4 linked regions of the Arabidopsis thaliana genome follow. The protein of the gene in region 1 interacts with the protein of each later gene in a pairwise test. Each region holds a gene or a part of one and is shown on either strand. Other genes may lie near its edges.

Region 1 (5,546 bases):
AAAGCTACCATTAGACCAAAACCACTTGGTTATAGGTTTCTACTTTCTACCACTAAGATATGTAACATTATTACTCTTTGATCATATTCACTAATCATTTCGATTGTCATAACATATATCACCAAAACTCATTTGCGTTTTTAAGTTTTTAATGGAACAGAGGCACACCAAACTCATTTGTGTTTCGAAGTTTTTGCTGTTCATGTTGGAGGTAGACTCAAAGTTCTTCAGGACTTAGCTCACTAGCTGACTCTGCATCCCCAAAAGGTCGCTGTATGGTTTCAGAATAGACGAGCCAGGTCCAACACCAAGCATTACGTTGGATGCCGGTTACGAGTCTCTTGAGCCTCCTCCCTATGGACAGAACCGCGTCCTTCATCTTTCTTTACAACAGCTCACATGGTGTCACTGAAAACTGGTTTTCTGCAGCTGCAGGAGAACCAAGTATTGATATGGAGACTATAAAAGCAGAGCCATAGTGTCTGATTAAACGAAGCAGAGCCATAGTATCTGATTAAACTACAAATCTGTATGATCCCTTGGTAGTTGAAATAGTAAAAGCGTGAAGGAAGTGATCAAAGACATTTATCAAAATGTGTTTGTAAGAATGGTTGAGAAAAGGAAATATATCTTTGAGAGCATGGTTTTCGGTGATGAGAACTATTGGAAATAGTAACACAATGCTTAAACACACAGACCATCAATATATAAATACCACCCTCTAGTTGGAGAGTGGTCAAACAGAAGCCAATCTAAACACGATGCTTGTGTAGTTAACATTACTACAGCTAAAGATAATGAGAAGCTTCCTTTAACCAGAGATAAGACAAAAATTGAAATTGCAACCAACTCAATGCAAAGCCATATCACTTCTTCTTTCGGCAAGAAGATTATCTTATACAGAACCAAGATTAATCGTCCTAGTAAAAAGCAAATCTTATGTCTCTGATAGGAATCTATCACATACTAGGTACAAAACCCATCGATAGAACTAAGAGACTAGTCTATTTGTAACCTATGAGTGACTATTTAACAGCCTCATGAGTCATGACCTCAGAAAGCTAAGGAGAAATTCTCAAACTATATTAGTCAAGTGCAAAAGAACCAACGGATGTTATAGAAATTCCAAGAAGGCTTGTTCGTTTACATCCTCATTGATCTACTTGAAAATTTTATTCTAAAAGGCAAGATTCATAGCTCTTATAGCTCACTCTTGACCTTAGCATCCCCATTTGGTAACACACTTTGCGTTTGAGCCAACCGTTTTGCTTCCTGAATTCAAATGAAAATAAATTTATCACCTTGACTAACTATTGTAGAAACTATCTCAGATGAGAAACAAAGGAACGTCAACAACTTACAGCAGCATAACTAGCACGTATGTCTCTATACCGATCGACTTCATCAGGAAAAGCCTGTTCAAGCTCCTCCAAGAGATGTTTTCTCAAACCCTGTACCAAACAATGTCGACTTTAAAATCATGAGTGGCCAAATTGAGAGAACCAGTAGAGCAAAAGGAGTCACCTTAAAAGCATCACTCTTTCCCTTTGTAACTTGATTTTTAGCAATGCAGTTCTTATTAAGAACATCTTTTGTAAACTCATCTGGGTTCTTCCCATCATCAATCAAGCTACAACAAACAAAGATATATAAACATAAGAGAGCAACAAAAATTCTCTAAAGAGTCTAAAAAGGGACTTGTTCTCACTTAAGAACCTCAATGGGGACTTGAATGTTGCATTTATCAGACAACTTAGCCATATTATCAAGCTCCATCACAAGAGAATTGCTGCAGATAGAGACAAAATTTCAATCACACAATACTCAAAACAATGGATCAATAGAGAAGAAGAAAAGTTACAGGCGTTGGAGGAGGTGAAGCTGAGAAGCAGGTGTGAAAGAAGAGACGGTGAGTTTTAATTGATGAAGGAGTTCTAAAATTTTCTGATTCGAGTTTATAATTTGGTTCAGCTTCTCATTTGAATCGTCGACGGTTGCAATTGCATTGATTTCGGTTTTTATCGAACCGTTGATTTCACCAATTCCGGCGATTGTGTTCTGTGTTTGATCCATCACCGAATAACTAGAAACGCGATTAAAACACACACAAATTAGGGTTTTGAATCACGGAAACATAGAGGTTGAGGGAAACAATTTATGTAGAGATCAATTCCAATTGACACAACTGGATGAAATTTCTGGGAACGATGAAACCCTAGGACCACCGACGAAGAAGAAGAAGAAGAAGAAGAAGTTCAGAGAGCGTACATGGATGGATTTGAGAAGAAGATCACAGGCGCAAAGTCAAAGTGGTCAAAAGAAAATTAACAATCGAGTTTTGAATTTGTTGTAGTCATTAATGGGCCTTTGGGCTTTTATATGGTTTTCAATGGAGTTAAGTCATGTCCATTTACGGTTACTTAAACTAATGGGTCTATTGTTTTGAACTTTTGATTTTAAAAGGTGGAGATGGTTCTGAATCTCTCTGGTTAAGTATCAATCCATGAGACCTTTTTTTTTTTTTTTTGAATGAATGTGTGAAATTATATTCAACTAAAACAACTGTTTTACAAATCAAATTCAACTAAAACAACTGACAAATTAAATCTCTCTGGTTAAGTGGTACATTTTTAATGTCTCTAGTCTCTACACATAAACGATTAACATGAGAGTTCACCAAATCTTTTCCAATTGGGTTTGTTCACTTGGTTTCGTTGGTTTTAATCTTCACAAATAAAAAAATGGTTTTAAGTAAATAGAAAGAAAAAAGAAAAGAAAAAAAGAGTAATCGAAGGAGCTGTAATCTTCACAAAGAGCACTTGATTATAACATTGAATCTTTTGCAAAAAAGATAAAAATCTTTTCAAGAAACTGATCCATCCAAAATACTATCTTGTCTTCACTCTTCAAAATTCCTGTCATTACTCTCTCGAACCCTTTCTCTTTTCGAATCTCCACTTTTTTTTCTATCTTCTGCTTCTTCTTCTTCTCTCTTCAATGATTCCACTCTCACAAAATCTCCATGACTACAAAACGCATAGACAGAGATCTCCCATCTTCCGACGATCCTTCCTCCGCTAAACGCCGTATCGAATTCCCCGAAGAAACACTCGAAAACGACGGTGCTGCCGCAATCAAACTCCTTAGCTTACTCCTCCAATGCGCCGAATACGTAGCTACTGATCATCTCCGTGAAGCTTCAACACTTTTATCCGAAATCTCCGAGATATGTTCTCCGTTCGGTTCCTCGCCGGAGCGAGTCGTCGCTTACTTCGCTCAAGCGCTACAAACGCGCGTGATCAGCTCTTACCTCTCCGGCGCGTGTTCTCCCCTCTCCGAGAAACCACTCACTGTTGTTCAGTCTCAGAAAATCTTCTCCGCCTTGCAGACTTATAACTCCGTTAGTCCTCTGATCAAATTCTCACATTTCACGGCGAATCAAGCCATTTTTCAGGCGCTTGACGGAGAAGATTCCGTTCATATCATCGATCTCGATGTTATGCAAGGTCTTCAATGGCCGGCTCTATTTCACATCCTCGCTTCACGTCCTCGAAAACTCCGATCAATTCGAATCACCGGATTTGGTTCCTCCTCCGATCTACTCGCTTCAACTGGCCGGAGACTCGCCGATTTCGCATCATCGTTAAACCTCCCTTTCGAATTTCATCCAATTGAAGGCATAATCGGAAACCTAATCGATCCGAGCCAACTCGCAACGAGACAAGGAGAAGCTGTGGTGGTTCATTGGATGCAGCACCGGTTATATGATGTTACAGGGAACAATCTCGAGACGTTGGAGATTCTACGGAGGCTGAAACCGAATCTGATCACGGTGGTGGAGCAAGAATTGAGCTACGACGATGGAGGAAGCTTTTTAGGAAGATTCGTGGAGGCTTTGCATTATTATAGCGCGTTGTTTGACGCGCTAGGAGATGGATTGGGTGAAGAGAGTGGTGAGAGATTCACGGTGGAGCAGATTGTTTTGGGGACGGAGATAAGAAACATTGTGGCGCACGGAGGAGGAAGAAGGAAGAGAATGAAGTGGAAAGAAGAACTGAGCCGGGTCGGGTTTAGACCTGTTTCGCTTCGGGGTAACCCGGCGACACAAGCGGGTTTATTGTTGGGTATGTTACCGTGGAATGGATATACTTTGGTTGAAGAGAATGGAACCCTCCGTCTTGGCTGGAAGGATCTCTCGCTTTTGACTGCCTCTGCCTGGAAATCTCAGCCGTTCGATTGATTTTATTTTTATTTTATAATGCAAACTGCAAAGTGATCATTAAGATTTTTTGTTTTGAAAATATTTCCAAACAAATTACGATAATTACGATAAAAAAAAGTCTTCATTGACGCAAAAAGTTGTTGATATTGAGAATGAGAAGGTTGTTGATACTAAAAATGAGAAGGTTCATGTTAGATAACTATATGCATAAGAGAGGTTCTTGTTAGATAACTATATGCATAAGAGAGGTTCATGTTAAATAACTCAATAAGCATAAGAGGTTATGACTATACACATATCTGTTAATAAAGTCAGCTACAACAAATAGAAGGTCTAATATCATAGACGATACCACCATGAAAAATCATCATTTCTCATAGTATTCATGAAAAACATCAAGTGGAATTTTTATGAGACCATCAACTTCTTACATTTAGTGAAACTGGTTTTTAATTTGTTCCTTCAATTCTTAAATCAAATCTAGAATTCATACAACTTGAGATTCTTAGAAAATTCAGGATACTTGTCTCTTTTTTCTTCTTTTTTTGTACAATTTTAAAAGAAAGATGTAGTGCAAAAGCCAAAAATCGAAAACAAAAACCAAAAACTAACAAAATAAAAATAAAATGACAACCATTCTTTTTTTTGGGGGGGGGGGGGGAGGAGGGGAGGGGGGGAAAGAAGAAAGAATGACCCAACTGTATGAAGGCCCATTAAAAAAGTGGGCCCAATTTCTATAAACGACCTTCGACTTTTTCAATAATCAATTTTCATCCAATTCAACTCAGGAAATTGCTATGATTTTACTCTGAGAATCAGAAGAAGAAATCTCGGTGAGCAAAATCCCTAGTTTTGGGATGATGTTTCCACGACTACGATTGACGAAGGTCTTCTTCTCCCCGATCATCGCCGGGAAATGGATCGTCTTTGCCGACGGTAGCAGCGGCGGCGGCGTTGGTAGAAATGGCTACTACGGTGGATTGTGGTCGTCGGCCGTTATTCCTTCCAATGTTGGTTTAGCTGTCGCTGTCACCGTCATGGCCGTGGCCGTCGCTTTCACCGTCTACTCTCGTAGGTATACACACAAAAACGATCTGATTTATGTTCTAATCGATTTCTTCAAAGCAAAGAAGCAATGCTTGTTCACTACTTAGTTAAGTAGTTATTTGGTATCCATAGATTTGATTGGTTCTTGCTTCTTTGTTACCTCACCAATTCGAGGCTGGATCGTCATGCCTTTAGGTTCGAAGAATTCTCTGTTAGTTAGGTTATTGTGATTGAGTTCTTGGTCCAATGTTAGCTGCTAACTCGTACTTCCACTACC
Region 2 (5,703 bases), on another chromosome or scaffold:
CCTCCGCCATGAAAGTAGACGAGTAGTGGGATTTTCTTCTCGCCGGTTTCATAGACGGAATTTTGAGGGAGGTAAATGCGGAGAGAGAGGTTTTTCTCCGGTGAATAGACGGCATCTTTAGATACGACGCCGTTTTCGGGATTTAGTGACGGTGGGACGAATGTTTCGGGTACGAGGCGTTCGATGCCACCGTTCTTGAATATACGAAACCTCGGAGAATAGTCGAATGCGATTTCGGAATCCATTAGAGATTAATGATGATTAGGAAAGAATTAAGAGTTGATTTTGGTGTTTATGCGATTTATTTATATGAATGATCTCTACGAGACTACGACTACTCTGAACTCTCTATAGTTTTGGTTTGGTTTAGATGTCACGTTGTTCTTTAGTTGTTGACATGTTGTTAAACCTACCTACTAACTCATAATTCACGGGTTTGAATTTGAATCATAAAATATGAGATTAGTAGGTAACAAGTAAACAAATGAAAACAAAACACACCTACTTACCTGATAGGTAGATTTATCAAGATATAATTTAGAGTATTTGATAGTATGGTTCGTCAACAAAAATTATTGTTCTTACAAAATTAGTTACATACGAAACTAATTTTGAGATAACCCATAGCAAGGGGATTTAGACAGGCGACAATAACTAGTAGAAAAACAGACTATAACGAATACTAACAATAATTGATCACTAATCAATACATACAAATATATGAAGTTTCCTAATCATTGAGTAGTTTGTATCTTAAATCAAAAAGCATGAAGATAGGAGCTTTTATATCTTGTCTTGAAGCAACGTCGTCAAAAGAATTTCTTGGTACGGCTTGAGGGTGGTTAGCATTCATATTTCAGCTGCTAAACCGAGCCACGACATGTTGCCTGTGGTTTGAGGGTTTGAAGACGCTTTGGCTGGATCGCATAATTGGTATGGTGCCTTTGACGTAACTCTGTCCTTTCTCTTCTCCAAGAACCGGTGAAGTGAAGCTCTTCTAGCAATAGGAAGTTCTGTCAATGGTGTTGGGGAGGATTGGATTGGCTCTTGTGTTGTGGTTTTTCTTGGATGAGGAACTTGGTTTGCGATAGTAGCGATGTTGCTTCTGATATCGGTTTGATTCTTGGCTAAGCTATTAGCGGTGCCTTTGCTCGCCAAGTTGATCACTTCTTTGGCTTTCTCAGCAGAAAAGTCATTGAATACAATCACTTGCCCGGCGTAGAATATAGTCAATGGTGCAGTTTGAGACTCTGGTTTCACAGATCTGGTAGTCTGTGTCATTTTCAAAACATCTTCCTTTGGAAGAGAGGAAGATGAGGAAGAAAAGCTTGGTTGCCTAGGAAACAGATTCGTCGGTTTAACATCTTGAACCATGGAATCCATGTTAGAAGCTTCACAAGGGAATAAACTCATGGTTGTTGTCGGCTGACGTGAGTTGCCTAAAGTTCCTGCAAATATATATGATCCAAAAGTTAGAACTCTCTCCAATCATTTTCTATGTCAAAATTTAGCAAACTAACTCTCCCTAATTTCTTTGAAATCGATTCAAAATTTTCTTGAAAAGTTTTCAAGATCAAGATTCAAGAAATAAAAAACAGAGAAAACGAAAAAAGAAGTGGATCTAGGAGAAAGAGAAGGTTTCTTACCATTGACATCAGGCTTGCATGCCATTCCTAAGCTCAGATCTCCAAAGCTACCGTTCTCTTTTAGATACTGACTCAATCGACTACACGTCTGTGAGAAGCTAGGCTTCTTCCCAGTAAATCTCCGGCTACCGACGAACTCAGAACATTCCATAGAACTCGACATCTTTAACAATTAAAACTTTCAAACGGCAAGAGTTTCTCGAATAGCTAAATCGATACAAAGTAATCTCAAATCTTTTTCTTCTTCTTCTTGTTGTTGCTGTTGCTTCTCTGCAAATTGCGTTTGTCACGAGAGGGAGAAATGGAAGGTCTCTATAAAACTTTGTTTGGCTTTGGGGTTGGTTGGTTTGGTTGCAGAGTTCTTCTTCCTACCTCCAATATAACAAAGCTATATATTAATAGTTTAATAAATACTACTACTTTACTTATGGTATAAAAAACACGTGTTTTATTTTGTTTCTTTAGAAAAATCGGGAATGTGTCTCGGTTCACTGTTCTCCACGTTCTGACGCTTTCCGTTTCTTTGAAATTACGAGTTTGCCCTCCTTCACGAGCCTAATTTATCCATTGGTTGTTTGTTGGTAAGAATAAAGTCAAATAAAACACAAGATGCATGTAATGATGTAAAGAGAAGAGAGGTTACATTTTATCTCTAATCTTTATTATCAACGTAACGTAGGCATAATTCTCGTCGTGATTTTGGTGCTGTTTTTTTTTATCGGATATGTTAACAAGAAATTAATCAACCTAAACACGTCTAAAAAGTACTTAATATTTCTAATTAAAATAAAATAAAATCTTTTTGTATAAATAAGAAGCAAAACGCGTTAGAACCAGTCAACAGTCAAAGCCTAAACTCTTTCACATTTTTAAATGCTCTTCATTGAGACTAAATAATCTTACAATTATAATTGAAATCTAATATGATATTATACTCGAAACATTTTAAAACTTACTATTATAAGTATATTAACGCGTGATTCATGCAGAGAGACAAGCTAAGAATTGTCTAATATCTAGAAAGAAATAAATTAAAATATAAAGTCTGCTAGTTGTCGAGTTGGAATAAAAATGAGGCACAAGCTAAAAGTCATACATCAAAGTCAACCCACATGTCGACCGTCACAATTGATAAAATGCCATGAACCATATGATAATTTGATTGAATAATCAAAAGATTACACGTAACGAAAGTAATGCTTGGCACCTAAAAATCAATAATACAAACTGAGACCTAATTAAATGGTCGTCAATATAAAAATGGACATATTAAAATATATTAAGATATCCAAAAGCAAAAGAGAGACTAATCCATATATCAAGGGTGTTATCGTCCAAGCGGGAAAGTAAACGGCGTTAGTGAGTGGTCCCCTAAAGAAGACAACTCCACCACCCACATGTTCCGTCGACCACGTTTTTGTTGTTATGCGTTTTTTGAACAATATCAATATTTAACGAAAAAAAGAAGCAAAGAAGAAGGAAACTACAAGGAAAGAAGGTTGGCAAGTGCACGTTGTCTGTACCTATTCGATATGACACGTGTTTTATCATGGTTGGTTCGTTTTTCTACGCGTGGAGAGATTCTTGTATTTCAGTATCCAGGGCTCTTATACGCTGCTACGCGACCTATAGAGTTCTAATGTGATTTTATCACCTAAACGGCTAAAGTTGATCTCTACAGCTGCTTTCTCAAAGTAGACCAAGCCAAAGCTCAGATATTTGGAACCCTATACATGCAAATCGATCACAAAATATCTAAAACCTTAAAACATGAAACAAACTCCAAAACCTTACTTTTATGTATAGGCTTCAGCTTCACCTATACGTTGATGTCATGTTTCATTGTAGGCTATACATAATAAAACGACTAAGAGATAGATCTGTAATTGTAACTTGGTGTATAATATACACATTAATGTTTAATTAGACTTGGATAATGCGACACAATTATATTAAATTAATCAGTAAACAAAGTACGTGACAAAGTATTATAATATGGACTCGATCGACACAATTCAGAAGAAAAAGTCGTCCCATACTGATACAACGAGTCTTTCTTTTACATAATTGACAGAAACTTTATTGGTGCAAGATTAGATATATAAAATTCAAGATATATTTCACTAATTAAAAAACTCAACTAGTTTTGAGTTTATTGGTTAGAAGTTGGAACGTACTATAAGATATGAAATGTGGGCTATGGAGCCTATAAAAGTAGATATGATTAGATTAAACGAGAAAGATCGTCAAACTCGTGGGAAATGCGTGTACGTAGTGGTTGGGAAGGAATACAGATCCGCGATGCAAGTTGAGTAACGTGTCCAAATATATATACTTTTACAACTATTCATGCATTAGTTGAGTTTACCATTAATTTACGACTCTTAATTTATTGTATGATTATAGTATATTGTTTAGTCCTTGTTAATGATAAACCAACATTGTAGAGACTTGTAATGTCTAATATATTATACAGGTGCAAGCCTATCTGTTCGTTTAGGGTTTTATTTTCTTAGAGTAAGGTAATACTTACAAAATTTACATGGTTGACTTTGCTAAGCATAGATTGATACGTAGCCACGTTGTATAGTTTTTATTTGTTTAACAAATACTTATGTAACAATCAATGATACAATCATACACAAGTTTTGAACAATATGCACATGAATATCTAGAAATGTTCAAACAATATTATTCTACAATTTCTTTTTGTTTCATGTAAAGGTACGCATGCGTTTGTTAGCCTTTCGAAAATAAATATTAAAATTTATAAATGTTAAAAAAGAAGGAAAACTATTACTCCACATGGGTCGTGAGTCGTGACCATTATTGGAGTCGTCGGTGTTCTGCAGAATATACATATATAAATGTTCGAAACTGTGCTAATTAACTTTAGTAGTGCGAACATGCTTCTCGTGACATTAAATTAAGATTTTTATATAAAACTAGATATTTTGAATAGTTTATCTTATTTCATGTTGGTGTTTGGTTTTCGTGCTAGGTCAAAATGTGAGTTGGGTCAATCAAAAACCACATTCTCGCGATTGGTTTTTTGGCCGGAGTTGGCTATCAAAACCTAGCCGAGCGATTTGGCGTGTGAGCTCCGAGTCTAAGGTGTGAGTCCGCTTTGGAAGGGATCATGAACCAACCTGGTTCACTGAATATGCCGATATTATCATGTGTCATGCGTTAACATGCGAGTTTAGTAATTGAGTCGAATACAACAACACGTGCTTTCAATATTAATAACCTCAACATGGAGATTTTGATTTTTCTAAGCATTCTACTGCAAAACTATGAACCTCAACAACATTTATGAGTTTGAGTTCTGTATTCATCCAAATTTTATTCTTTAATTCGATCAATAAAGCAACTTAACTCCTTTGTTCTAATATATTGCTTGTTCATCAACGAATTATCTTTAGTTGACCTATTTGTGATAAATATTTATATTTATTACTTTAATTAAAATTACAACTATTTATCAGAATGAGAAAACCCCAACGACGAAGAGAAATGGTCCAAAGAAAAATAATTTTCATTTTTGTGTCCCAAAATTTACTTTTATGTACACAAATGACAATGAACTGAAAAAACATTCAAATGTCGTAGTCAATGTCCGCCACATTGGACTCAGCTGCAGGCTTAACCAGACGACCTTCCTCGTCGTAAACATCAAAATTCTCGCAAGGTCGAGGAAATATCGAACCGAACACTCGTCCTTTCACGAACGAACATTGGAATATATGTTTCTTCTTGTACGTTAACCCAACGGACATGTCCCGAAACGTCACATTCCTTACCGGAATCTGTTCGCTTCCATGGATCCGGACCGGCACTCGCACTCCTTGTCCGTGGATTCCCGCGAAACTGAATCCCGAAAGTATCGGGTATGCTTTCCGATCATAATTATCGTCTGCATGCTCGTTGTAATCCGTTTTGATCACTATCCCAACCCGAACATTGTCTAGTGTTAGGTTTTTGTAGGTTATGTTTCTGATGTAACCGCCTCGTCCTGGAGCCGTTTTAATTCTGATTCCACGGCGTGAGTTCCAGA
Region 3 (5,638 bases), on another chromosome or scaffold:
TATTAGAACAAAGGGTTCTAATCATGCGGTTGGAATCTTACACGAAGCTATAATGGCGAATTTGAATGCGTATGATGATATGGAAAAAGCCCTTGATGAATCTAGTGTAGATTTAACAACTCCTGTGGTGTGTAAGATCTTACAAAGGCTTCAATACGAAGAAAAGACGGCTTTTCGGTTCTTCACTTGGGCTGGACATCAAGAACATTACTCACATGAGCCTATTGCTTATAATGAGATGATTGATATATTGTCAAGTACTAAGTATAAGAATAAGCAGTTTAGGATTGTGATTGATATGCTTGATTACATGAAGAGAAACAACAAAACCGTTGTTCTTGTTGATGTTCTATTGGAGATTCTCAGGAAGTATTGTGAGAGGTACTTGACTCATGTTCAGAAATTTGCCAAGAGGAAACGGATTAGAGTGAAGACGCAGCCTGAGATTAATGCTTTCAATATGCTTCTTGATGCTCTGTGTAAGTGTGGTTTGGTTAAGGAGGGTGAAGCTTTGCTTAGAAGGATGAGGCATAGAGTTAAACCTGATGCGAATACGTTTAATGTCTTGTTCTTTGGGTGGTGTAGGGTGAGAGACCCTAAAAAGGCAATGAAGCTGCTTGAAGAGATGATTGAAGCTGGACATAAGCCGGAAAATTTCACTTATTGTGCTGCTATTGATACTTTCTGTCAAGCTGGAATGGTGGATGAGGCAGCTGATTTGTTTGACTTTATGATAACCAAAGGCTCTGCTGTTTCTGCTCCAACCGCAAAGACTTTTGCTTTAATGATTGTGGCGTTGGCAAAGAATGATAAGGCAGAAGAATGCTTTGAGCTAATTGGGCGTATGATAAGCACGGGTTGCCTTCCTGATGTCTCGACATATAAGGATGTAATTGAAGGTATGTGTATGGCTGAAAAGGTAGATGAAGCGTACAAGTTCCTGGATGAGATGAGTAATAAAGGTTACCCGCCTGATATAGTCACATACAATTGCTTTCTTAGGGTATTGTGTGAGAATAGAAAGACCGATGAAGCACTTAAACTTTATGGAAGAATGGTAGAGTCGCGTTGTGCTCCTAGCGTCCAAACATACAACATGCTGATATCTATGTTTTTCGAAATGGATGATCCTGATGGAGCATTCAATACATGGACTGAAATGGATAAAAGAGACTGTGTTCAGGACGTTGAAACATACTGTGCTATGATCAATGGGCTTTTCGACTGTCACAGAGCTAAAGAGGCGTGTTTTCTACTGGAAGAGGTTGTGAACAAAGGACTCAAACTGCCATATCGAGTGTTTGACTCTTTCTTGATGCGTCTATCGGAAGTTGGTAACCTCAAGGCAATTCATAAGGTTTCTGAACATATGAAAAAGTTTTACAACCATAGTATGGCTAGGCGTTTTGCACTCAGTGAGAAGAGAAAGAGTACAAAACTCAGAGGGAAGTAATGTGAACTGAAAACTGTTGGACCATATCATCATACTAAAACAAAGAACCATTTTCAGTGGTGCGATGATTCTGTTGCCTAGAGAGGAGCTCTTCGTGACTATGATCCCTGGTGAAATTTCATCCATCACAGTCTCTCTAATTCTGGACCAATAAGCATGGTTTCGAAAGCAAAGATACCTATCCAGGTCTATTGTCTAATGGTTATGTTGGTTTCTTTGAAAAGGCTCTCACAGCTCACAATATGTTTAACGTGTTCGTTTAAAGTCATTGTATTGACCATTGCATACATAGAGATAGAGCCGAACTTTGTATGATCCTTAGCAATGTGAGAGGCTTGTTTTCCTTATGGTTCATGACTATTATGGTTTATCTTCTGCTCTTGCTCTCTGATTCTCGAGTTTGATGTGAGATTCTTGAAACATTATGATGCTAGAACAGTGTCGGTTCATCGTTCAGTTCTGGTAACAGGTTCAAGTCTCAGGAACTCTTGCTGAAGAAGTCTAAAGACATGACACAGTTGGTCTGTCAGCCTTTGGTGATGAAGTACCCATACAGTTGTAAAATAAAAAGCCCACTGGTATATAATATTTGACCGGTTTAGTGTAATCAGGATCCGGTTTAGTTGAAATAGGTCATTTTGCGACGAAAATAGGTTAAGTTTAGTTATGATAGGTTCGAAAGTCGAAACTGAAGAAGGCTTCTCTCCTAACTACCGATAGAACAAATGAAGTTGATTATTGGCTTTCTTTCCCAACTAACTCTCTGTTTTATTTTATTTTCCTACTAAACTTTACCAGCAATTATTTTGGTTTTTGCTTACAGATTTTTTTTTTTTGAAGAAATGTTCTAATTAGTCCCACGGAACATTCAATGTAACTGATTCTGTTTTTAGTCCTGAATGTCCGAAACCTATAAAGTTCCGTTTTGGACAAGAGAGACGTGCTTGGAGACCAAATATTTGACCACCTTTTTTATTTGTTTACGACTAAAATGATTGACCACATGAGAATAAAATTTTTGCTAATATATTTCATCACTTGATTCAATTGTATACACCTTCTATTTTATTTACAGTTTATAAGAAAATACCCATTGTAAAATTGCAAAGAAAAAGTTAGTTGTATTGTCTCCACTTTGGACGATATATTCCTAATTAAGGCTTAGAAAAAACGTTGATTAGGTCTGAAAATATTTATCTTTAATTATTATGGACGATATTTGATACATGAAATAAATTTTTGTCAGTGTAGGATATCGATATTTATTATATGTGAATACGTAGCTTGCCAAGATTACAGAAACGTAGATGAGTATTGGTGGCTTGAAGTAGCGGGTGTAGGTTAGAACTTAGAAACAACAAACCTTAAATTAATACTATACGAAGAGACGTTGAGAGGCTAACGAAATCCTGCCCACACCAAGCAATCTCTAGTCTATGCTCTTATTTTCTACGATATTATATATTCTATAATTATTATAACTAAATAAAATCCTAGTTGTAAAATAAAGGAAAGAAAAAGGTAGATTACGTAGAAGGGGGTGTTTTGTTGGTTAGGGAAGACGTTGGCATCAGTCGCCGGTAGAGAGGTCCGTCCAAACCCTCCCGACTCTCTAACGGATTTTGTTTTATTTTATTTTAATTTTCATCATATAAAATGTATATATATATATATATATATATATTTTCTTTTGGTAAAGACATAAAATGTATATTAGACGAAAAAAAAGAAGAAGACATAAAATGTATATTATATATATACTCGCAATAATATAGACTATGTATATATATACGTGCAGGTGCTCTTCAGCTTTCTTCTTGTTCCCACATACCCATCTTCCCCAACCTTTTCCCAAGAAAAAAAAAACTTAGGGTTTTAATTTCTTATATATGTACATAAAATACATGAACACAACAAATTTTTTGCGTGCGTTATTGATATAGAATCTGTGTGTTTTTCTTTTTCTTTGTTCTTGTATTGGTTTGGATCGGTATACTTAGTTAATTACGTAATTAAATAGATCGGCGTGAAGAAGAAAAATGATCATGTGCAGCCGAGGCCATTGGAGACCAGCTGAAGACGAGAAGCTCAAGGATCTTGTCGAACAATACGGTCCTCACAATTGGAACGCCATTGCTCTCAAGCTTCCTGGTCGCTCTGGTAATTGATATCTTCTAGGGTTTGTCCATATATACAAAACTAGCTAGGGTTAATTTTGATACTTTGATATATATATACATATGAATTAATTGTATTGGTGTATATATGCAGGTAAGAGTTGTAGATTGAGATGGTTTAATCAATTGGATCCAAGGATCAACCGAAACCCTTTCACGGAAGAAGAAGAAGAAAGACTTTTAGCGGCTCATCGGATCCATGGGAACAGATGGTCCATCATCGCAAGGCTTTTCCCTGGAAGAACTGATAACGCCGTCAAGAACCATTGGCACGTCATCATGGCTCGTCGCACACGCCAAACCTCTAAGCCTCGTCTTCTTCCCTCGACGACTTCGTCTTCTTCTTTAATGGCGAGTGAACAAATCATGATGAGTTCTGGTGGTTATAATCATAATTATAGTTCCGATGATCGGAAGAAAATATTTCCAGCAGACTTTATAAATTTCCCTTACAAATTCTCTCATATCAATCATCTTCACTTCCTAAAGGAGTTTTTCACCGGAAAGATCGCTTTAAATCACAAAGGTAAACTCAAAATGATGGAGAAGGATCCATTTTCTATAGATGTGTTTGCATGTATATGAGTCTTGCACGGATTATTGATGAAAAAGGTATATATGTTCCAAAATTTTGAAATGAAGTTTAGCCGAATTTTTTTACTTTTCAAAGAGTTTAGCCGACTTTTTCATTTGCATAATCATTTTTCTAATGAACTTCAAAATTATGTGACAAAATTAGTTGCATGTTTTTTCTTGTACTCATCATCATATATTGTTTCCGTCATTACATGAAGTCATCTCTATATATTTAACATAGTTGCAATCCACATAGCTTATAATTTCGTCCTTCTTTTATCGTTTGGATCGCAGCAAATCAGAGTAAAAAGCCTATGGAGTTCTACAATTTTCTACAAGTAAACACAGATTCAAACAAGAGCGAGATTATAGATCAAGATTCAGGTCAAAGCAAACGCAGTGACTCGGACACCAAACATGAAAGTCATGTTCCATTCTTCGACTTTTTATCCGTTGGAAACTCTGCCTCCTAGGATTAGTTTTTTTGCAGTAACTCCTAAATTTCTAGATTAACTATTTAGTCCGTATACGTACGAGATTATCTAGGTCGTTAGCATGTATGCTTGATGTGTATAATCACTAACTAGTGAGCTATTACCTGCGAAAATTGTAAGAAAAATACATAATGTTGATGTATCACACATTCTCAATGTCTGTAAAATTTCCATCGAGTTGTTAACTATCAAAGTTATCCGTTTGAATGTATTTGTTTAATTTGTCTTGAATGAGATGAATAACATGTTTAAATGTTTAATTCTGTTACCAACAATTTAATTATATATATATAACGATTAATTGCTAGTTTGTTTCTTATTAAATTTGTATCATATTTATTCAACGTTCAAACAAATCACCGTTCAATTGTTTATGCATAACCCGATCATGAACTCGACCTCGAGAGGCCACAATATTATCAAAATTTGAAAGTATATATGTACAGTTGAAATCTTATATCGTTGAGATTATAACATGAAAAAAATCCAATGTTTGATGAAGAAGCAAAAGGTGTTGGAAAACTCTTTTTACTTCTTACTTTCCTTAATCGTTTTCTTACAACAACACAACCATTATGTAGTTCTTGTACTTAATCTAATTAGAAATTTGTTAATAACCAAGACCCACCCTTAATTGGGCCTTGTTCACCTCTGGGCCCAATGGCCTTTTTCTCTCTTTTCCTTCACTCTTCTTCTTCTTCTTCTTCTTCTTCTTCTTCTTCTTCTTCTTCTTCTTCCTCGTGCATACCTTGCTGTAGTTCCCTCTTTTCCTTCACTTGCTCCCTCATAGTTCGAACCCGTGCATACCTTTTAATTTCTGTTGAATTTCTCATTGTCTTTGGTATGGTCCTAATCTCAATACGTCTCTGTTTCTCATCCATCTCTCCAGGGATCTGAAATTTCTTCCTCTGCATGTGCTCTCGTGGTTTCTTCCTTGA
Region 4 (6,520 bases), on another chromosome or scaffold:
CAGAAATAAAGAAACATGTATAGAGAGAATAACAGAAAGACAAAAGTGTATTATTATACCCTCACTTTCTTTATATATACGATCATACAAATATCTGAATTGTTCTATCAATCATAAAGATTATGAATAGGCAACATCCGTAAGATCCTGTGAAGTGAACCGTCGCTATTAGAATTATTTTTGAAAAAAATATGAAATATATAAGAGATATTCATATATGGATAATAAGAGAGACCACAAAAGAGGAAGGAAGTCTCAAGAGATTGGTTGTTCGTCTGTAAAACACGTCCATAGGCTTCGCATCACAATTTACTATTTTGTCTCTGTTTTTGGTTTGGGAGACACACATCATTGTCTTTGGAAAGCTACAGAAGTGAAGGGTGTTTTTGTTAATTTACACCGACAAAGTCTCTTTGGTTCCATAACTCCTCTTCGTTACCAAACCTTGCGCAACTTGCCTCTTCCAGTTTATCGTATATGTAACTATGCCTTTCTCGCTGAAAAAGGAAAATGTTTTTAGTAACCAAAAGCAAATTACATATGAATGGAAATATAATCCCTTAACAAGAACATATCGTTTTATATTATAAACTAATCTTCATTTTTAGTAATTCTATAGCCGAAGCCGTTTTTAACCCACTTTACGTAGGAAAGTGAAGTGGAACTCTAGACATCAAAAGCACATGCATGTCTGTAATCAGACTAAGAACTCTCGACCCTAAAATTAATAAACTAAAATCAATATTTAAACCGACTGGTAACGCTCATTTCTTTTTGTTATAAAGACTAATCACATTTCATTGAAGATTTGGTAATATATACAATTTACAATTGATTTCTCTCTTCCCATCATCGTCAATTCACTCATCAACACTTTGACATATGAGCTAATTCATCCATGATTTATAACTTCATTTGCAGAAACAAAATAAAAAAATTCTGTTGAATTTTATTTCTGATCATTTCATAACTTAAGAGGACAATTACATAAGAGGAAAAGGAAAAAGGTGCCAAGCAAACGAAATAGCAAAGCGAAAAGGGAGAGGACAACTGAGATATTTACATGACAATTATAAGTCACCAATAAATTTATATCGTCGAAATTACAAGTATACAGATTACAAATATTATCCCAAGTTGGGTCGTATATATGACATATCGCATCCAAATAAATAGAAGAATAATTTCGAAAACAATAAAAAAGAAGGAAAAGAGAAAAGAGAAAACAAAAGTCAAAGGGACCATGTTGATAAATGGAAGACAGGACTCCCATCTCTTGTTTGTCTCCCCATCTCCACTGTCTCACGTGCCTTTGCTCTCTGCCAATTGTATTCCATTCATATTATTCAATACTAATAGAAATACTTTATCACGTTAAAATAAAGTAATTGTCATAACAACAACTAGTTAGACTTAAACCATGCAAATATAATGCCAAAAAAAAAGAGACTACTTAAACCAATAAACCATACAAGATCAATTATGCAAAGGCTGGATTTGACCTGTCGAACATATTTTAATTGCGGGTCATATAGTCCGCGTGATCATATATTATAGTCTAATAAGATTGAATCTAAACTACAAACACTTGTATTTTTGAATAAATCTTTGTAGAACCGACTCGATCAAAACATACCGGACCCATTACAACATCTCTACCAGACTACCACTAATTAATTATATATATGCTTATCTTAAGAATTGAAAAACATTATTAGAATGTTCTAGTACCTGCATGGAATCAACTGCATCTGTCTCTGAGTTAAAGTCATAAAACGAACTTGCTGCAGTGAGTTTCATCGAGAGGAACTGAAATCCACAAAAAACATGAAACAAAATTGAGTAATTTATAAAATTAAAGCTTGTGTTTTGGAAGTTTTTTAAAGTGTGTGGTAAGATTTTCGTTTTTTTTTTGTAATTTTCGAATATCTAAGATTTGCCGTGTTTCGGAAAGTACTACTAAAGTAGGTATTTACCGAACCTCCCATCTCATGAAACCTCCATTTTCTAGTTTTTTTTTTCTTTCTCCAAAATACAAGAAGACAAAGTCTTATTGATATATGTAGTTTATGATTACAACTTAAATTATTTACCTCGACTTGATTCTGTAGAGACTGGACATAATTAATTATCTCGTCAAGCATCGTAGCCATTCCCATAGCCTGCACCCACCAAACATACACTTTCATTATAAGAAGTAAGCACCACTAAATCAATAGAAAATCACATCACTTTTTCTACAATTTTTTTTCTGAGTTCTTTGTAAACAAAAAAAACAAAAAAAAATCCGAAGAACAATTTTCGGAAAATATTATGAGCGGTATCAAAGAAAAAAGCTAAAATCACACTCATGCATGTTAAAAATACTTTTGGATACATATGTTCTTGTTTAACTAAAAGTATCACTTTTATCATAAAATGCTTAAATTTGATTCAAGTATAATTAGTGACAATTAATGCCGATGATGACCTTTTCATATGCTATTTATTGTTTAATGGCCATTAGTTTCTATTTTGATTACAAATATATTAAAAAAGAAGTAATGAAAAGTTGAAAATGTTAAACTATTATATTTATCTTTGCATTATTACCTTATAACATCCGGGCACCATATCTTGCAAGCATCTTAATCTCTCGTTTATTTTCCCTCGCCGAACCTGAAATTTTGATATAGAGTGTAGACATGTATATAAATTTAAATGAATACACCACGTTTATAAAAAAAATGAATTTATATAGACAATTTAAGCAATTTTACCCGTTCTGCTAAGCTGTGGCTATCAGTGGCTTGGCCTCTTCTGGCTCTCACATGAACAACTTCTCTCTCTTTCTCGTCTTCTTCTTCCTTCTTCTTCTTCAACCTCTTACCTCTTCTCAAAGAACCCTAGATATTTTTTAGACAATAAAAGTAATTATTTTAAACGAACTTTTTAATGATAAGTTATGAAAATGATAAGATAATTAGCTAGGGTTTCGAGATCAATTACTGTTTCAGTGGCAATAACATTCGTATTATCGGAGACGCCGCTAGTCTCTGATGAAGACAAAGTAGGTAACAAAGCTTTTCTCTTCTTGGTCTCATCGACGATGTTGTGATCACTATGGAGGAAACTTGAAGTTGAAGAGAAATTGTTACTACTGTCTGGAGAGTTTCCGGGAAAGTGAAGTAATTGTTGTTGATGATGATGAAGGAAGAGCGATTCGAGAGAAGTAGAGGAAGGATGAAATGTTTGAAAATGAAGGTTACTGTTGTTGTTGTTTAGATCTGCAGCTTGAGTTATGGAAGAATATATATCCATGGCTATTGTCTGAAAATCAGAAGAAAGATTCTCGAAATTTGCCATAATATAATGAATTGAGATATGATCTTCTTGACACTTTTTTTTTTTTTTTTTTCTGACAACTTCTTTAGACTGGTTGATACAAAACTTGAGACTTTTATATTGTTCGATTGGATTTTTTTATTAATTTAATTTATGATTTTAGAAAAAGAAATGTGGAGAAAATTAAGAAAGAAAAAGAGAGAAATAAAGGGAGAGCCACGTGGGCAAGTGAACGTTCTGGGATTTGTGTGTCGGGGAGATATGTCCAAACAAGGAAAAGTAGGACCAATGTTTGGTCGTGGGTTCCATTAGGCTTTCTCTGTTTGCAAGGGGGAAGAACATTTCTAGTCAGTTTGGTGTGAGGTTAAGAACTAGTGGTCTATCTTTAAATTTATTATTAATATTGGGAAGAAAATATTGAAATGGATGTAGCTAGTCAAACTAAGTTGATATCAAAACTTGTTTTAATGAAAACATCCATTAATGTTTTGCATGGAGGGTTTTTTATGTAGGTGTATAGGGTAAGAGATCACATCCATTTGCCAACTTAATTATAACTTCCAAATGGCCAATGCCAATTAATCGACAAAAATACTATAAATATGTGTATGTATAAAAATATAGGGAGATAAACGAAAGTATATATGAAGGTTCTTTTACATAAGTTGACGCCAATTTATGAATCTTTAGTTAAAGTTTAAGTTACCAAATTATTTATATTGGTGAAGACAAATTTTCACTTTAATCGGCATACTAGAGATTTCCTTTGTTTGTCCTTGTGATGATCAAACACATTGAGTTTTAGGAAAGAGTTTTTTTTTTTTTTTTTTTTTCTTCCTTTTAGGAAAGAGTTAGGTTGCAACAAATGTCAATGTTTAGTTGGGCCATTACTATAGATTATCTATTATGTATGGTGGAGGGATTTGATTCACATGCAATTTCATTCATTCAAGACAACTTACTCTTTAACTTGTTCATTAATAGAAGTAGTAAAGCATCCATGCCCAAATTGGTGTGCTTTAATTAGGAAATTTTGGAAACAGAAGTTTTTTTTTTTTTTCTCTGAAAGTGTCTTTCATTAAAACTTCATAGATGCAGGTCTTACATTGTGATTGCAGCAGTGGACTTTCCACTTACATTGGAAACAGAAGATAAGCTCAATATACATATATATATTCTTCTGACGTTAAATTGGTGGATAGTCATCGCCGTCGCTGAGCTGGCGTTACTTAATTACCATCATTATTTTGATGTCTCAAATATTTTTACCTTTTCCGTAAAAAAATAAAATTAACCACTAATAAAAAAATAGTTTCAGTTGGCAGCAAATAGCAATACAAAATTGCTGATTTAGTCCGGTCAGGCCCAATCACGAAGTTTTGTATGTTACGGTCCCTCTCTAGGTGGAATCGGAACAAGATCATCATTATATACATTCCCAAAAATATCATCTAATACAGAACACGAACACCATTCTCTAACTGTTAACTGACAATTTTAAACATACAAATAATAAACACATACAATGTTAGTGGCCGTGCGACTAATTTTACTTACTGTCCCATTTCACAATGACACTATCTGGAGACTGTGCAACCAACGGTCCACTCTTGTTCACATCTACAACATCCATTTCCGAACCAAATCCATTGTTCTGTATCCTCGTCAACGTATCCTGCACGTGCGACATACATGGCCTAAGATCTTTATCCGACTGCAAGCATTGGAACGCCAGCTCAGCGACAGCGATCACCGTCTGTCTCACTCTTGTATCCGTGTCAAACCCAAGTGACGGATCCACCATGTCGCGGAGCTCGTGGTTCTGGATTTTAACGACTGCCATGTTCGAGAGGTTGATCTCTTGGCGCGGTCTTGTGATGTCGACTGCTGGAAGTGAAGAGATAAGCTCCATTAACACTACCGCAAAGCTGTACACGTCGCTTTTGTTTGAGAGTTGATAGCATAAGTGGTAATCCGGGTCGACATATCCCGGAGTTCCTTGTGGAGCGGTAGATACGTGCGTTTTATCCATAGGAAACAGTCTAGAGAGTCCAAAATCCGCAACCTAAAATGTCGAAAACAGTAAAAAAAACACAGAAAGAAGTTAAGATTATGATCCGATAAAATCCCACCAGATTGAGTAATAACCAGTGTGAGTTACTGACCTTGACATTGAAGTTTTGGTCGAGAAGGATGTTGTTGGATTTAACATCACGGTGGATGATCTTGGAGGCGTGGAGATACTTCAAGGCAGAGGCAGTTTCAACAGCGATTTTGAGCCGAATAGACCAAGGAAGTGAGCTAGGGTTTGCCTGTGGACCATGTAGATGATCAGCTAACGTGCCGTTTGCAACATACTCATACACTAGCAGTAAGTCCCGGCTCTGTTTTGAGGAGCATCCAAAGAGAGCCACGAGGTTTGGATGGCGTAAACCCGTTAAGATCTCAACTTCATTCCTGAATTGCTCTGCTCTTTTGAAGTTGTTATCGTATAACCGTTTAACGGCTACGCTTCGTCCATCTTTAAGCTTACCGTAATAGACAGTACCAAAGCCTCCATCACCGAGTTCTTTAGATGGGTCGAAGTTATTAGTGGCTTCTTCAAGTTCTTCGTAAGAGAAAATATGAACTCCGACTAATAATTCCTCTGCTTTCTCGATGTCAAAAGACTTTGCAGATGGATCTGATGAGATGTTTCTTGGAAGCAATGCTGAAGAATTTCTGTAACTTTTTGTTTTTCTACGATGGTATACATACCAAAATATGCTCGCAGCTATTAATCCTACGACCGCAGCGGATGCACCTGAGATGGATTTTGTAATCTGTTAAAACTTGAGCGGGATGATTAACGAAACAACAGAGCATAACATAACTTTGCCAAAGTAGAATTTTATATCTTTTGATGGTGCGAAGAGCATCATAAATCAAATCGAATCTATTAAAATACTGGTTAGTTATTATAACCACATATCAAAGTCTTTTTCCCAAAACAGAAGATTAAAGAATTTTACCTATGAGTACCTTCACTATCACTCTCCTTCTTTTATCATTTTTGCCTGGAATGAAGAAACAGAGAAGAATAAACCAGTCAATGGACTTTCAGATTTCAGCATTCGTAAGAACATATAGATTGAGACTAAAAGTTACTTAACCAGTCAGAGATTGTAAAAAAGCCTTTAACAATGTATTGACAAAA

What was found.
Region 2: the proteins of AT5G41920 (region 1) and JAZ1 interact in binary tests that used the Arabidopsis thaliana proteins (3 or more experiments, as listed by UniProt).
Region 3: the proteins of AT5G41920 (region 1) and MYB54 interact in binary tests that used the Arabidopsis thaliana proteins (3 or more experiments, as listed by UniProt).
Region 4: the proteins of AT5G41920 (region 1) and BEE1 interact in binary tests that used the Arabidopsis thaliana proteins (3 or more experiments, as listed by UniProt).

Annotation. Positions count from the first base shown.
Region 1 is NC_003076.8:16,776,960-16,782,505, forward strand, and holds AT5G41920 (GRAS family transcription factor), read left to right. Parts: upstream 1-2,683; 5' UTR 2,684-3,022; coding exon 3,023-4,240; 3' UTR 4,241-4,465; downstream 4,466-5,546. Other genes in the region: AT5G41908 (uncharacterized protein), read left to right, coding at 324-479; MED10A (Mediator complex, subunit Med10), read right to left, coding at 1,201-1,272, 1,362-1,451, 1,525-1,630, 1,709-1,789, 1,862-2,073; AT5G41940 (Ypt/Rab-GAP domain of gyp1p superfamily protein), read left to right, coding at 5,080-5,297. UniProt on the Arabidopsis thaliana protein: Probable transcription factor involved in plant development.
Region 2 is NC_003070.9:6,618,418-6,624,120, reverse strand, and holds JAZ1 (jasmonate-zim-domain protein 1), read right to left. Parts: upstream 2,345-5,703; 5' UTR 2,290-2,344; intron 2,202-2,289; 5' UTR 1,810-2,201; coding exon 1,647-1,809; exon of another isoform or gene 1,449-1,646; coding exon 850-1,448; 3' UTR 501-849; downstream 1-500. Other genes in the region: AT1G19190 (alpha/beta-Hydrolases superfamily protein), read right to left, coding at 1-245; AT1G19170 (Pectin lyase-like superfamily protein), read right to left, coding at 5,246-5,703.
Region 3 is NC_003070.9:27,598,360-27,603,997, forward strand, and holds MYB54 (myb domain protein 54), read left to right. Parts: upstream 1-3,233; 5' UTR 3,234-3,492; coding exon 3,493-3,613; intron 3,614-3,724; coding exon 3,725-4,156; coding exon of another isoform or gene 4,157-4,215; exon of another isoform or gene 4,216-4,500; coding exon 4,501-4,679; 3' UTR 4,680-4,958; downstream 4,959-5,638. Other genes in the region: AT1G73400 (Pentatricopeptide repeat (PPR) superfamily protein), read left to right, coding at 1-1,453. UniProt on the Arabidopsis thaliana protein: Transcription factor that regulates secondary cell wall (SCW) biosynthesis, especially in interfascicular and xylary fibers.
Region 4 is NC_003070.9:6,328,289-6,334,808, reverse strand, and holds BEE1 (BR enhanced expression 1), read right to left. Parts: upstream 3,412-6,520; 5' UTR 3,346-3,411; coding exon 2,989-3,345; intron 2,886-2,988; coding exon 2,760-2,885; intron 2,659-2,759; coding exon 2,593-2,658; intron 2,163-2,592; coding exon 2,094-2,162; intron 1,810-2,093; coding exon 1,732-1,809; coding exon of another isoform or gene 1,690-1,731; exon of another isoform or gene 1,320-1,689; coding exon 1,233-1,319; 3' UTR 953-1,232; downstream 1-952. Other genes in the region: AT1G18390 (Serine/Threonine kinase family catalytic domain protein), read right to left, coding at 4,874-5,389, 5,490-6,146, 6,346-6,380. UniProt on the Arabidopsis thaliana protein: Positive regulator of brassinosteroid signaling.